3 linked regions of the Medicago truncatula genome follow. The protein of the gene in region 2 interacts with the protein of the main gene of each other region in a pairwise test. Links are inferred from orthologs where the notes say so. Each region holds a gene or a part of one and is shown on either strand. Other genes may lie near its edges.

Evidence for each region.
Region 1: the proteins of transcription factor TCP19 (region 2) and abscisic acid receptor PYL2 interact in binary tests that used the Arabidopsis thaliana proteins (3 or more experiments, as listed by UniProt). The link is inferred for Medicago truncatula from reciprocal best matches to the Arabidopsis thaliana genes AT5G51910 and PYL2.
Region 3: the proteins of transcription factor TCP19 (region 2) and homeotic protein knotted-1 interact in binary tests that used the Arabidopsis thaliana proteins (3 or more experiments, as listed by UniProt). The link is inferred for Medicago truncatula from reciprocal best matches to the Arabidopsis thaliana genes AT5G51910 and KNAT1.

What each region holds. Positions count from the first base shown.
Region 1 is NC_053042.1:4,458,841-4,463,148, reverse strand, and holds abscisic acid receptor PYL2, read right to left. Parts: upstream 2,260-4,308; 5' UTR 2,176-2,259; coding exon 1,555-2,175; 3' UTR 1,446-1,554; downstream 1-1,445. UniProt on the Arabidopsis thaliana protein: Receptor for abscisic acid (ABA) required for ABA-mediated responses such as stomatal closure and germination inhibition. Inhibits the activity of group-A protein phosphatases type 2C (PP2Cs) when activated by ABA. Can be activated by both (-)-ABA and (+)-ABA.
Region 2 is NC_053042.1:49,608,978-49,613,922, forward strand, and holds transcription factor TCP19, read left to right. Parts: upstream 1-1,734; 5' UTR 1,735-1,870; exon of another isoform or gene 1,871-1,877; intron 1,878-1,895; exon of another isoform or gene 1,896-1,971; 5' UTR 1,972-2,030; intron 2,031-2,158; 5' UTR 2,159-2,159; coding exon 2,160-3,173; 3' UTR 3,174-3,215; exon of another isoform or gene 3,216-3,264; 3' UTR 3,265-3,342; downstream 3,343-4,945. Other genes in the region: uncharacterized protein, read right to left, coding at 802-869, 1,011-1,115, 1,207-1,483.
Region 3 is NC_053042.1:4,716,001-4,721,640, reverse strand, and holds the start of homeotic protein knotted-1, read right to left. Parts: upstream 3,875-5,640; 5' UTR 3,408-3,874; coding exon 2,985-3,407; intron 2,738-2,984; coding exon 2,615-2,737; intron 2,415-2,614; coding exon 2,282-2,414; intron 1-2,281. UniProt on the Arabidopsis thaliana protein: May play a role in meristem function, and may be involved in maintaining cells in an undifferentiated, meristematic state, and its expression disappears at the same time the shoot apex undergoes the transition from vegetative to reproductive development.

The sequences.
Region 1 (4,308 bases), about 45 Mb from region 2:
ATAATACTTACACATATACACATATCAATTAGAGTGATGATACATGTACCACCCTATGTGGCAATACACCCTTTACACCCACACAAAATTCTGACACGTGGCATATTGGACCCCACACAAATAGAAGATAAAGTGTGGTTGTGAGATGAACTTACCAAAATATCTCTAATACATGGGGTGTACAATGAAGTGTAGGAATAAAAGAGTGTTCATGTATCATTTTTCTATCAATTAAGTGTTTCTTTAATTTGTATGCATTTACCAAATATTAAAAAACAAAAAAGAGTAACATTATGCCAAAGCCGAAATAAAGTTATGAGCTGTAGTATGATTATATTATATGTATGAAGGAAAAAACTGAATACACCAACTGTCAAGTTGCTTCTTGCCGCCTTTCAAATAACATTAAACTATATAAAAAAGAACATAATATTGTTCATATACGTTGTTCAAGTCCCAATAATATAAGAGAGTTATATATGAACTTTTCTAGCCATATATTTTCACACTTCACATGTTTCTCAAGGTTGATCCCAAAGTCATCACGAGATTTTCTCAGTTCTTGTTTCTCCAATTGCCGTTGAATTAATTAAGGGTTTGACATTTATTTAAGCCATACAAAAATATGCTTTTATTTTAACTCAACTACCATCATCCACCCACGGTTGACACAAAATAGTTTTTTTTTTCTTTTTTTTCACTCCCACTTTAAACAAATAGATCCAAAATTGACCATTGTTTTTTGCCAATAAAATTGACCATTTCTGAACTTTTAATTTCATGTCTAATTACTACTAGAAAAGCCTAACAATCAAGAAATCCATTTCAATAATATGCAACCAAATTAAACCGCTTGTTATTATAATCATGTTTACAAACTACACAAACTTAACTGATATCAAAATCAAATGCCTCAACTTGTACATATTTCTTAAAAAAAAAGTCTCAACTTGTATATATGCTTAAACACGCCACTAGCAAAATTTATCATCATTACCTTAAACCAAGCATATTACTTAACGAAGACGAAAATGAAAAATCTTATTAAATATTTAATTAGGACTCATTCCACGTCAAGCAAACTTAGAATCTATATCAATATTCCTGTTAGATTCTAACCAATTACAAACGTAAAGGGTTTAACCGCTACACATTCATAGTTTAAATTAAAATTGCACGACATTTAGAACTGAAGTAAAGGCTTTAACGATACATCGTATCGATAATTACATTTACTAATTAGCATGCTCTCATTATATAAAGTATTATTGACAATTATAATCATCAAATCTTTAAAATATTTTACATTAATTTTAAGTGTTTAAAACAAAAGATTGTACATTAAAATTAACCTCCATATAACTTGATTGGTAAAATAAAAGATATATCAATATTATTATTTGATGATTTGAAGAAGATTATATAAGAAGAATGAAAATGAAACATGCATTATAATACTTAATACTAATTAGTAACAACTATTGAACTTGAACATAAAGAGTCCATAAATGGATGATCCTAAAATAAACTAAAACATCAAATATTGATTATATATTATTGTCCATGCATGGAAGAACATGAACTCATAGCAACAACTCCAAGTTTCTGAAGATTAAGCTTGACAACAGTGTCAACAAACATCTTGGTATCTTCTTCAGTGTTCCCATGTGGAATATCAACAATATAAGATTCCAAAACAATAGTATAAACCTTACCTTCATTGTTGACAAACTCATTAACCGAAGTAACCGAACGATAGTTTTGAAGACGATGTTCACCACCAACAACTCTAAAACTTATTACATGTTTTTCATCATCCAAAATCTCTAATCTTTCGGTACTTGTCGAAGCCGGTAAACCCGAAACAACGGTAACTTCTCTAATGCTACCAACGTTTCCATCACCTTTCATGTTGCAACCTTTGATGAAATGTTTGTATTTTTGTGGATTCTCAAAGCTTCTAACATATGGCCACACTATGCTTGATGGTGCTTCTATTTTGTAGGTTATGATTGAAGTGCATGTGTTTGAGGTTGGTTCTAATATGTGGTATTTTTTTATGATTGGTTCGAGTTCTTTGTATTCTTCTTCTGTTAGACCTTGAATATTATGCACCGAAGCCATTTTGTGTGTGTTTTTCTTATTGCTTTGGGGGGTGTCAAAAGCAAATATCATTCAAGAAGAAGAAGAAGAAGAAAAGTAGTGGACAAAAAACATTATATGCAAAAACAAAGCATGAAGATGTGAACACTTACATATTTATATTAATGTTTGGTGTTTGTTATTTTTCTTGTTTTAGACGGATATGCCCTTGACTGTTCATTTTTATTAATTTTATAATGCAAAAACTATGTACGTCACTAAGGAATCAGACCCCTGGGTTAATTTGTTTATTTATAGTTTACAATTTTCCATAGATATTTTTAGTAAAAAGTGTGTATATGTGTTTGTGGTTCTTTTTTAATGTATATAATATATTTTATTTAATTTGCTTACCTATTAAGTAAGGGAGAGGATTCATAGGGTGGAATTTTTCTAGCTTTAGCTGCATGAGGAAAGGTGTTGTCTCTACTCTAACATTTTTTTAAACATAAAAATATATACTCTCCAAATATTGCATATTTTTTGGAGCTTATTCGGTGGTACTTTTGAGGGTTGTATATATTTTTTTATTTTTTCTGTGGTCTCGTTATTATACATAACGACAAGCAATTTTTTAATAACTACTTGTTGTGCGTCATGTTGACCACTACTTTTCCATTCATTCTTACATTTCTTTTTGTATAAGTGATGAGATAGGTTTAGGATAAGTCAAAAATATGGATTACTTTAATGATATTAATATTATTATTACTACTACATTTTTTTAATATTATTTATGCTTTTTTGTTTATACCATATTACCATGCATGCCCATACCTATAGGTAGTGGTAGATTTATATATATATTTTTTGAATAAAGTGGTAGATTTATATTTGTAGTAGCATTATAACCGAACTATATATTTTTTTTTATAGTATATCGTATTTACTATTGGTTTTGGTGGAGCATATAGAAAATATGCATGGCTTTTCAGAAAGGATGGAGATTGTGATTTTAATGCAAGAGTAAGGGTAAGATTGGATATATAATAAGATGAGAAATAAGAAGAAGAAATAGTCGCAATCGTTGAAAAGGGCAAGTTGGATATTCACGAATCATGTGAAGGCTCTAACAAACTGTCCGTGTGATCTAAACTTCACTTTGCAGCATAGTTTTCTATCAAAGCAAATAAAGTAAGGGTACCAAAATGAGTGGACAATGGACCAACCATATTAATCATTCAATAAAAAAAAGATTAATTATAAAATATGTATACTAGTTGGATATTATTGTGGTCCAAATTCAATCCGATTTGAAAATTCACATATATAGATAGATTGGGTCAATTTATTGGCTCAAAAATATTTTAATTTTTATAATTGGTCATCTAAGTTATATTTATATGTATATGGTAGATCTAGCACATTGACTTTTGTTTTAGTATTTGTTGGTTGTTAATGCATTCATTGCATTTAATTTTTTTATTTCTATTATTATTATTTTTTTTTTGAAGAATTTATTATTATTATTATTATTATTGTAAAGTTAAATAGACTCTTAGTTTATGTAAAATAAGCAAAAATTTGGTTTTGGTTATTTTTTTAATAGTTTTTATAGCATTAAATTTTATAAATGTAGCTTTTGATTCCACCACCATGTTGCATTCATTAACTACTGTCATCCTTTTGTCAAAAAAATAAATAAATTAACTACTGTCATCCTAGGTTATGTTGAGTAACATATCCCATTATTCTTCTATTTATTTCTTCTTTGTTCAATTTGTCAAAAAAAAAAAAAAAACTTCTTTGTATATATTGCATTATATTTTACAATGTTATTGACATGCTTTCTATAGAGTCACCCAGCACTACTAAAGAAATATTAATTTCTTTTTGCAATAACAAACATGTTATCAATATTGTGTCGGGAGTCTTATGTGCCGATCGCTTTTGATTCGAGTTCGGGAGTAAGTTTGTGACTCAGGTCCTTTTAGGCTGTTGTGATGTCTCCTCCGATAGACCGGATCTTGAGTGGTGGTCGAAGCTGAACGTTTGAAGCAAAATCACTATCGGGTGCCTAATTGATCATTGTTGGCGGTGTTGGTTCTTTGAGGAGTTGTTATGGGATTCGGCATTTTGAGGGTGCTGGTGGTTTTTCTTTGGGGGTTTTTGGTGTTTTTATTTTCTCTTTTTGGTGTAATACTTGGGATTTAATCCCCTTATATA
Region 2 (4,945 bases):
GGATGGGACTCTAACATTTCTTGTTTAGCTAATTATCATAAAAATTGGTATGTACTTTTTTTATCAAGGACAAAAAATTAAAAAAGTGGCTTGAAATATCATTAAAAAACTTGATTATTGTTTTTTCGAATAAGTTAAACTAGCACATTTAAATTGATACTGATAAAAATTGATCTAAGATCTTTAAAAAAGTACACTCTCTAAGATCCCAAGCAAACATTAACATGCTAACTCAAGTGGATTTAAAACATGATTTTTTGTTAAAACAAACCAATTTTATTCTTCTTTTGTCTATAACTCGGTGATTTGAGTTAGAAAAAATCAATATATATATATATATATATATATATATATATATATATATATATATATATATATAAGATTTTGGGCTCAATATCTGCTACTATCAATTCTATTTCAAAAAACATTTATCTTTTCTTAAGAAATTGATTACTAACATTTGTCTTCTTTTTTATACAATCACTAGCATTTTTTTAAAAGAATGATGTTTATATCATTTCATTACCAATAATTTGTTCAATATAACGAAGTACATTAGTATAAATAATGGGACTGGCTAATAATGCGGCCACCCCTGCTAAATGGTGAGCTTCCTCATTGACTTGTCTCCGAGTAAACTCGACCTTAGAGTTGGTAAACTTGGTGTTGAAGAGACGGCGGCATGTAGAGAGAACCTGGGCAAACTCTATGATGTTAACGCGATGACCATTAAACGCATCAGTATCAGTCTTGGAATCCAAAGAGAAATTAATATTGTCAAAACCCATGTAACCCATCCATTCATGCGAATAAAAGAGACCCAAGGCTTCCCCCCACTGGAATAGGACACACATGGGTAACCGGGATCACTTTAGCAAGCACAAAAACACATTCGTCATTGCGAATAGAACTACATATCCTTGTTCTATTGAATTGATTCGAAATAAAGGCATCTATGTTACATTAGAAACGACCATGTTGTGGTCTTTGCCAACAAATTTCAGTCGTACCTGAAGTAACTTCGTTGTTCTGAATGGTGGGAGAGAAAACAACACTAGATGCACTTGAGGTAAATGTAGTAAGCGTGTGTTGTGGAAGCACATGCGACATCTTAGCTGCCATATGAGGGGTGTTAGCCAAACTCCAGTCTTCGATTAAATGAAAAGCACGATCAATAACTTCTGGTACTATTTGGTGACTTCTTACCGTAGCTATAGATTGTAGTGCTTCCATAAACTCCACAAGAGAGCTGCAAACCTTTGGGAATTGTCTCGCGAAAGTTCCTAAATGGTAGATAATATTGCATCTGTTGCCGAAGATGTGTTGTTGTGCACACTATTAATCGTATCGCCAATTTCGCTTCTATGCCACACCTGCGCAACAAAAGAACAATTGAAAATAACATCGTTAAGGTTTTCAAACGGTTTGTTGCAAGTGACACAATTAGTAGAGCAATGCACTGCTTTATCTTAAAATCCAACATGTGTCGGCAAACAATCTCTGCACATTCTCCATATTAAATTTTTAACCTTCGGAGGAACCCGCAGCCTCCAAACACCATCCCAATTAAGAAATATAATTTTCCTTCTTTTCAAATATATTGATTATTTGTATCATTTAAATTTTTCAACAACATTCCTTTTTATCCATTAAGAAGAAATCTACGACTGTTGACTATGAATTATACTTTTTATTTTGAAATGGAAAATAGGAGCAAAACTAAGAGGTAACTGCGTGGCATCATCCCATCCATTCATCTAATGTAAAAAGTATATCCAGCCATTAATCCTATTTCATTGTGCAAATAAATACTGATCCTGAGGGACCCTCTCTTCCACACGGATATGTGGGGCTCTCCACCATTGTTAGGGTTTGTTGTTTCTCTCAATCAACACAATTATCTTTTTTTTTTTATTTTTTATTAACAAAAACCTCTTCGAATTCTCAATTAGTCTTTCTAATCTTTTGCAGTGCCTGAAAGATTCAAACACAGTCAACGTATCAAAAACTCTGTTTCTCTGCAAAACAAAGTAGGCCCCAAAAAAAATGATTTTTTTCTTTTCTTAAATTTGAAATCTTTTTCTTTTTTTTTTCATCTGGGTTTTGATCATTCCTTAATGGGTCTTTGTTAAATTTTTATTTGTTAATTTTTGTTTAGGATGGAAGTGAACCCTAACGGCGGCGATGTTTTATGTGAAGAAAACAAAACTGACAGTACTGAAGTATCTCCGTCGGAGACGACGGAGCCTGCGGCGGCGTTAATGAAAGAAGAGCTAACGGAAACGGAAAACAACAGCCTTATTCCGGTGCCGGTTCAAACGATGACAGTGGCGGCGGCGAAGAGGTCATCGAAAGACCGTCACACGAAGGTGGAAGGACGTGGTCGGAGAATCAGGATTCCGGCGACATGCGCCGCCAGAATCTTTCAACTGACGAGGGAGCTAGGTCACAAATCCGACGGAGAAACAATCCGGTGGTTGTTAGAACAAGCTGAACCTTCTATCATTGAAGCAACTGGCACCGGAACGGTGCCAGCCATTGCTGTTTCCGTCGGAGGTACGTTAAAGATTCCAACATCATCTCCGGCGAGACCAGACGGTGAAGATGCTCCGGTGAAGAGAAGAAGAAGAGCTTCAAACAGTGAGTTTGTTGACTTGAATGATCAAGTTTCAATGTGTTCGGGATTAGCACCAATTGCTCAAACCGCATACGGTGCCGCCGCCACCTCCAGTGGCGGTGGTAGTGGTGAAAATGGTGGTGGTTTAGTTCCATTATGGCCTGTTGTAAGTAACGGTGTTGGGTCTAATACAACAGGACCATTTTTCATGTTCCCAAATTCAACTCTAATGAATCAGCCACAGTTTTGGGCTATTCCTGCAGCACCATTTTTCAATGTGCAAACAAGACCTATTTCTGATTTTGTTTCTGCTATGCAAATGCCACAAGAACCTTCAAATGCTGCTACTGCTTATGCAAATTCTAATGCTTCATCTACTTTGGCTCCTAGTTTGAGTTCAGCAACTTCAACTAGTTGTTCTGCTACTACTTCTTCATCCTCTGCTACAAATACTCAGATGCTAAGAGATTTTTCTTTGGATATTTTTGATAAGAAAGAGCTGCAGTTTATGGGTTGTTCTTCTGCAAATTTGGAATCATCTCCCTCTTCAAATTGAAGCTTTAAGTTGGTAGAAAAATGTGCTTAGACTTTAGAAGTTAGAAAAGCTAGTCAATATCTTCTTTTTTTTTTTTTTTGAAAATTGGAGCAGAAAAGCAGAGATAGCTTGTGTCTATCTGAATTTTGTCTTTTTGGTTTTTGGCCAATGCGAAAGAACACGTCTTGAATTTTTGTTTTTAAAGAAATCTTTTTTGTTTGTCTATTTATCTTATAAATTTTATTATTTCTGCCTTTAATATTTATTATGGTCATTTTTCATATTTATTATTGAGAGTAAAAAATAATCAAAATTCTAACAAAAATTGTCAAATAGTCACTTTATATATTTATTGTGGGTTCAACTTATATAATATTTGGGGCGATATTGGTCAAAGTGTACAAACAAACAAAAAAGTGTGGTGAAAGAGAGAAAAGAAATTCAGTTGTGACATTAATCATTGATTTTTTTTTTTTTTGAAGGAGACATTAATCATTGATGTAAATGCATTTGTTAATAATTATTGAATTTTAAGTATGTTCTTTGGTGTGCCACCATCTAAACTTTTTTAAAATATACAAATTGAAATGATCATTTTTTAAAAATATTATAGAAAAAAAGGGTTTATTAAGTTTTTAGTCCTTATAAATATTCACAGTTTTGTTTTTAGTCCCTACAAAATAAAATCACACTTTTTAGTCCCTGTGACATTTTCCTTAAGTATTTTAGGGACCAAAAATCTTGATGAAAATTTTTACAGGGACTAAAAATGCTGATGGAAAAATTTTATAGGAACTAAAAATGTTGATGAAATTTTTTATAGGGACTAAAAAGTATGATTTTATTTTGTAGGGACTAAAAACAAAATTCTGAATATTTATAGGGACTATTTACTTAATTAACCCAAAAAAAAATACATAAATTGATTCAGAATAAAAAATAAAATAAAACTTGTTTTTCAAAATGCAAATGTAAAAACCACTAATAACGGGAAGAAAAAAAAAACGTCATCGTGAGCATGGAAAATGAATAAGATGAAGTTATAGACAAGTGTGATACAATTCTGAACAAATAAGATGAAAATTATATATTAAATGAAGGAAATGGAAGAGTTTGTTGTTCTTTTAGATGAAAATGGAAATTGATTGAAGAAAAAATCAGTGAGGTCTGCATTATTTCTTGTTGAATTGAGGATAATTTATCCATAATGACAAGTAAAATTCAATTTTAAAACAAATGTGATAAATATCACATACTATCAAATAAAGGAGATGAAGAAATTTAATATTTTTGAAATGAAAATGATAACAGATTGTAAGAAAAAATATGAAAAAAAGGTTTTTTTTATATTAAATTAGCATGTTTTCTTTTTTGGTCAAGTTAAACCTCAATCCATATATCTACTAACTGAGTTAAATTTACACGGACTTTGTTTATATTTTCTATTAAACAATGATCTTATATCATCGATAAAAATGTGAATTCTTATTTTATATTGAAAAAAACGTAGATAAATAACCTCAAGTTTGGGGAAGTAGGCAGTGCAAAAAGAAAATTGAATTTTTGAGTCAAAGGTAGTGCCAGTGGGTCCAACGTCCCACCGTGCGGGGTCCAGTTTACACGTGCGAAGTCGTTTATAATTATCCGATAATTCTTAAAACGGTGTGAGGTTTGGGCTACCTAGCAGTGTGCGTGGCATTAGAAAAATGGGATCTTAGAAAGGTCACGTGAGTTTCTATCAGCACGTGATGTTTGTGGGCCCCAAAAATGTGGGTGGGGAAAGGGAAGGGTCC
Region 3 (5,640 bases), about 45 Mb from region 2:
ATTTTCTTTGTAGTTTTTTTGAGAAGCACTGGTTAAAGAATTAAATGTAAAACACAGGTAAAGTTTTCAAGGGAAGCACCTGTTAAATTACAGTATTAAAAGTTGTATGATCAATTTTTCAAAAAGTCTAACAAATGTAATTTTTCAATTTAAAATATCAATGTTAATCGTTTAGGGTTTATGCATGAATATTAAGAAAATGATTAATTGTGTTGATTTCAATGCTAAAATACCATCATTAATGATAGTTAGTGGAGTAATTAAGTTGAATGAAATTCAATAAATAAGGATATAATAGTGGAAAAAATAAATAATGTTGCATTGGTATTGTAAAGTGACAATTATTTTGAGAAAAATAAAATATGCTGAAGAGACAATAATTATGACACGAAGGGAGTAGTTAGCATAATTTTTTTTTTAATCAAAGAAATGAAAATACTTACTCCCTTTGTCCCAATTTAGATGAGTCTTTTGTCCATTTCACACTTATTAAGAAAAATGTATTAGTGAAGGGGAGAGAAAAATAGTTTTAAGTGCTCTTGTGAAGTATTTTTGCATTTACCATAATCACAAACGCAAAGTAGAATATATTGAATTAGGAGTGATAAAAGTAATATTAATTATAGTTAAAATTGAAAGAAAAAAAAGTAATTAATAATGTATTGAAGAGTGAAATTGGTCAGTTATTTTAGAACAATTTATTTTACAAAATATTCACTTATTATGGGACAGAGGGAGTATAAATGAAGATCATTTTAACTTAATGGAAAAACTTTGGTGCTTTTTCCTTTGATATCATTACGTGTATTTCGTTTTTTTATATGGATGAGAATGTTGGATAAATGATTTAAATGAAAGAGAATAATAGATAAATGATTAAAATAAAGGGTTATGCTAATAAGTGCCTTTAGACAATCCACAATAGTGATGTCTTCACTATTTAAGATCCGGTACCTAAGACTCGAGAATTAAGACTCTCATTCTTAAGTGGATCCCACGCTGCTTTTTATTAAAATAATCATTATATTGTTGGAATATAAATGATGAAGAGTTAGTGGTTGGATCAATTTAGACCTTTTGTCAGAGGGACTCCATTGGAGTGACTCAATACTTATTAAGTACGGTTATTAAAATAGTGATGTGTTCACGTGGAACCCGTTTAAGAACTCAAAATTGAGGATCCATTGTAGATGTTCTTAGGACACTTGTTAAAGAAACCAAAAGTAGTGACTATGTTTGTATTGGATTCATGTTAAGCAACTTAAAAAGAACAATTTTACATCGGAAAACACAATATGACAATTTTTAAGAAGTTGAATGCACACCTTTTAATATGTGTATTTTTATAATAAGTATCTTAACATGTGCCTTGAAGGCTCAAGTTAGCATTTACTTAAAAACAAAGGCACAATCGCACTAAAAACTCCTTTCTACAAAAAAAAAAAAAAAAAAAATGGCACTAAAAACTCCTAACACTACTAGTACTCCTATGTTGGGGTTGGATTGGAACGGCATCCAATGTGTTTTTTAAGAAAGAATGCAAAAGAAAAGAGAAAATTAAAAAGTGATTAAAACGGCATTAGCGGTAAGACGGCCGAAAAACTGACCAATGTAATGATGAGAAAGAGTAGTAATTCCACAAAACCCAATGAATCCTTCGAAACCGATAAACACGAGAGTTTTAGTCAGTAAAATACATTGATTAACATGGAAACCCTAGAAGAATAATTGTCAGTCAGAACTCAGGAGCTAGCTTGGGAAATAGAAGCCTAACATGGAGACGCCAACGTGTGGATTTGGGTTTTAGCAACAATAAAAAATGAAATAGTAAAAAATTCGTCTGGAGTCGTGAAGTATGAACAAATACAGCCTCTAGAAACATACCAGTAAATGTGATATTTTTTATAAAAAAAATAAAAATAAAAAAAAATATCATATTTAGAAAGTACTAGCGATTAGGGTTCTGTAGATGATGAAGAAATATCATCTTCAGTTATATGGGTCCCCTACCCTTCTGCTCCCACGATTTGAAAGCATGTGAGATTTTTGGTCAAAATTTCCAGGCTATGTTCAGAAACACTCGAGTTTACGAATTTCAAGAGCTTTCACAACCCGTCACTCACACATCAGTCACATTACTCTTAATAGTCAATAATCCAGAATTAATTAATGACCTCGTTTTAATTTCAGTGATATTAGTAATATAATAAAACAAAACTATTGAGAATGAATATTGAATTGAATATATTAAGAGAAAAGATAAAGTACTACTACTACTCACCAGGGAAGATCCGAAGGGGTCCATTGCAAAGTGTATTTAGCTGTGTTTCTATTCTTCTCATGAAATCCATAGCCTCTTGTATAGGCCTTGTTAATTCCTCTCTATACTTCACAAGCATATCATAATATGCTTCCTGTTAAACATAAACATAAACACCATTTCAACGTCCAAAACCACAATCTATAAGTTCTATAAATATAGATACAGTAATCAACTAGATTTTTGCCGACATAATTTAAACTTATTGATTATCAAGATAAAAACCCAACGAAAATAATTTTAATTCTAGAAAGAAAAAAAACATAAACTAAAACAAAAAATACCCCCTTGTACCATGAATTGGTCTAGTTCTGGATCTTTAGAAGTTTCTCTCGAGTTAACTGAAGATCTTTGCCGTGCTTCAAATTCTTGCCTAGACGCAACCAAACGAGCCACCACTTCCGGTGGAGCTCCAATCTACATATAATTTGTTTAATTAGAGAGAGATAGCAATTAATTAATATAAAAATTAAAAATATATATATAAAAAATGGGGTATGCTTATTTAAATTGTTATCATGATGGTGGGAGTCCAAATTTAATTCTTGACTGAAACAATCATTAATTATTGATTATAGTATTTTACTTATCTTGAAGGGAAGGGTTAAGAAAAATAAATTGTTATAATGATGAAAATGAATAAAAATAATAATTAATTAGTGACCTTTTGACAATCCATGTAAGCTTGTAAAAGACTAGAATATTGAGGATGAGCAATGATTTTGGCTTTTATAGCTTCAGCTTCAACATTAGAACTGCTTGGACTCCCTCCTCCTCCTTGATGATGATGGTTATGCATAATATTGGTGTGTGGAATAATATTTGTTCTCATTAAAGCTGGGTAATGAAAAATCGGAGTGTGAAGTTGTGAAGTACTATTTGCTTCAGTTTTCACAGCAGAGTGTTGTTGATGTTGTACTTGATCAGACTGAAAACAATTGTCTGATCCATGAAAGTTGTTCATTGGAATCTGATTATGTTGATGATTGTGTTGGTGTTGGTGTTGGTTGTTTCCACTAGCAATGGAGTATAAGAAATTTGGCCTTGAATTTGGATTTGGATTTGGATTATTAGTGTATTCCTCCATTTAACTCAAATTTAAGAAACCAAATATCATATATGTTTAACTCTCTCACTCAACTCAATTCTCAAAATATAGGGAAAATGAAAAAACCCTACTTTGTTGTTTTATAGAGTAATAAAAATTATGGAAAGGTCAAGAACTTAATTGAAACCCTAATGAAAACCATCTTTGAGATTGTTTATATAATGAATGAAATTTAGGGACAACACAAGTGTAATTTTGTGTGTGTTGGGGTGAAGGGGTCCAAGAAGTTTCAAAAGCCAAAAGTTTAAGAGGTTGAGAGATGAGTGAAGATGATTGGAGCTTATAGATTTTGGGCATTGACAGGGTGGAGCAAGTAGAAACCAGCAAAACTCTCACATGATGTGTTGTTGTACGAAGAAGAGAAAGATTAGAGAGAGAGGAGAGAGTGGTGGCTTTAGTCCAAACCGGCAATGTCTTGGAGATGGGGGTGGTTGACAAGACTTTGTTTGGTTGATAGAAATAAATATGAAGATATATTTAAATTAGAGAATGTTAATCATTGCCTTCGGAACATTGGATAAGGAAATAAAAATAAAAATATAACATTGGAAAATAGTAAAAAGTGATAAATTTAACTTTTTAAAAATTAAAATGTTGTTGAAACTAATGCAAAGCTTCTATAATTATTGCTTTGAGAGCAATGGTTAGCGCGACTCATTTAAATATTTTAAAAGCCAAATGCAGTGTAGTGTAGCTAGGTTTATATTTTTTTAATTTCTTTGCTTTATTTGCTAAAGTTAGTTTTCTTTGCTATTAATTCTCTGTAGTTTGTCTCCTAATTGATTTTCCTTTTCGGGGTTCTTGATCAATTGCTTCCTTAATTAGTGCCCGCAGGATAATGGTTAAGGAAATCAAAAAATAAAATTAAGTTGAAAATATCACTTTTTAAACTTTTAAGGAGTTGAATGCACAAATTTCAATAGGAGATTATTTACTTCCTTAACCATTACTTTGAGGGCACTTGTTAGCATTTCCTATTCTTTATTACATAGATTTTTTCTAGAATTGTTTATTACATAGTTCAAACGAAACTATTAAGTTGTGTCATGTGGGGTGCATATATATTGTTAAAATAATTATAATTTAATTTTAATATATGCATCTTGATTATACTTTCACACCTCTACTGTATTGTTATAAAAATATGATATTTGTATAATTATTTTATGATAATTTTTTTATAATGTACTTTCTTGTTTATACTATGATTTTATCATTTTGTTTAATTTTTTTTAATTGATTTAGATCAACAATAATAAGATTGTCATAAAGCTTGTCATCAAATCAAATAAGTAATAAAATATTGCTACTCAAAACTGTATGTAAACAAACTCTTTTGTCTCAAAACTGTATGTAATCAATTATTTTAGATATCAAGTCTTTTGTCTTGAAGAAACCTTTAAATATTAAAAAAATGTAACATTGTTCCCAAAAACATCATGAACAATAACTAAGACCCTCAATAAATTTATGTTTCACTACAACAGTGAATTGATAAGTGGTAGAAAGTAGTAAATTTATGTTATATATTAAGCACTTTTGATTACTTGTTTTACAAGTTATTCATGGAAATGCCAAGAATTTATGCACAAATGTCTATTTATGCTTTTTATACCTTACTTTATTCCATTGTGCAGGAAAATGATGAACAAGACAAGAATTCAACAAAGAAACTTGAAGATTTGCAAAGGTTAGCTCGCCATAGCGAGCACAGGGCGAGGACAAGGCGAGCTAAGTTAGAAAGTTTACAATTTCATAAGTCCAAGCCTTGCCACAGTGAGGAAGGAGCGAGCTAACTCGCCATGGCGAGCTAAAATCGAGCTTGCAGCGAGGAGTTCCAGAAAATCCAGTTTTCAGAAGTCTCAAGCAAGCCACAACGAGGCCATGGCGTACCAACTCGCCATGGGGAGCCAAGAAGTGAGTGGAAGTAGCAGTTCCAGAAACTCAGGAATTCAGGAAAACAAAACCTTCCCATAGCGAGCAATAGCCTTGCCATGGCGAGTCAAGGCGATTGCAGGGCACTTAATGACGTGACATAAACCCAATGGCGAAGAAAGCTCCACTCGCTACAATGTTCGATTACTCCATAACCTTCATACTAGATTATGAACGCCATGAATATATCATTTAACTTTAATATCTCGTGTGCCTCATGAATTCTCATCTAAGGATTTATACTTTATGAAGATGTCTAACCCTCATAAAATAATAA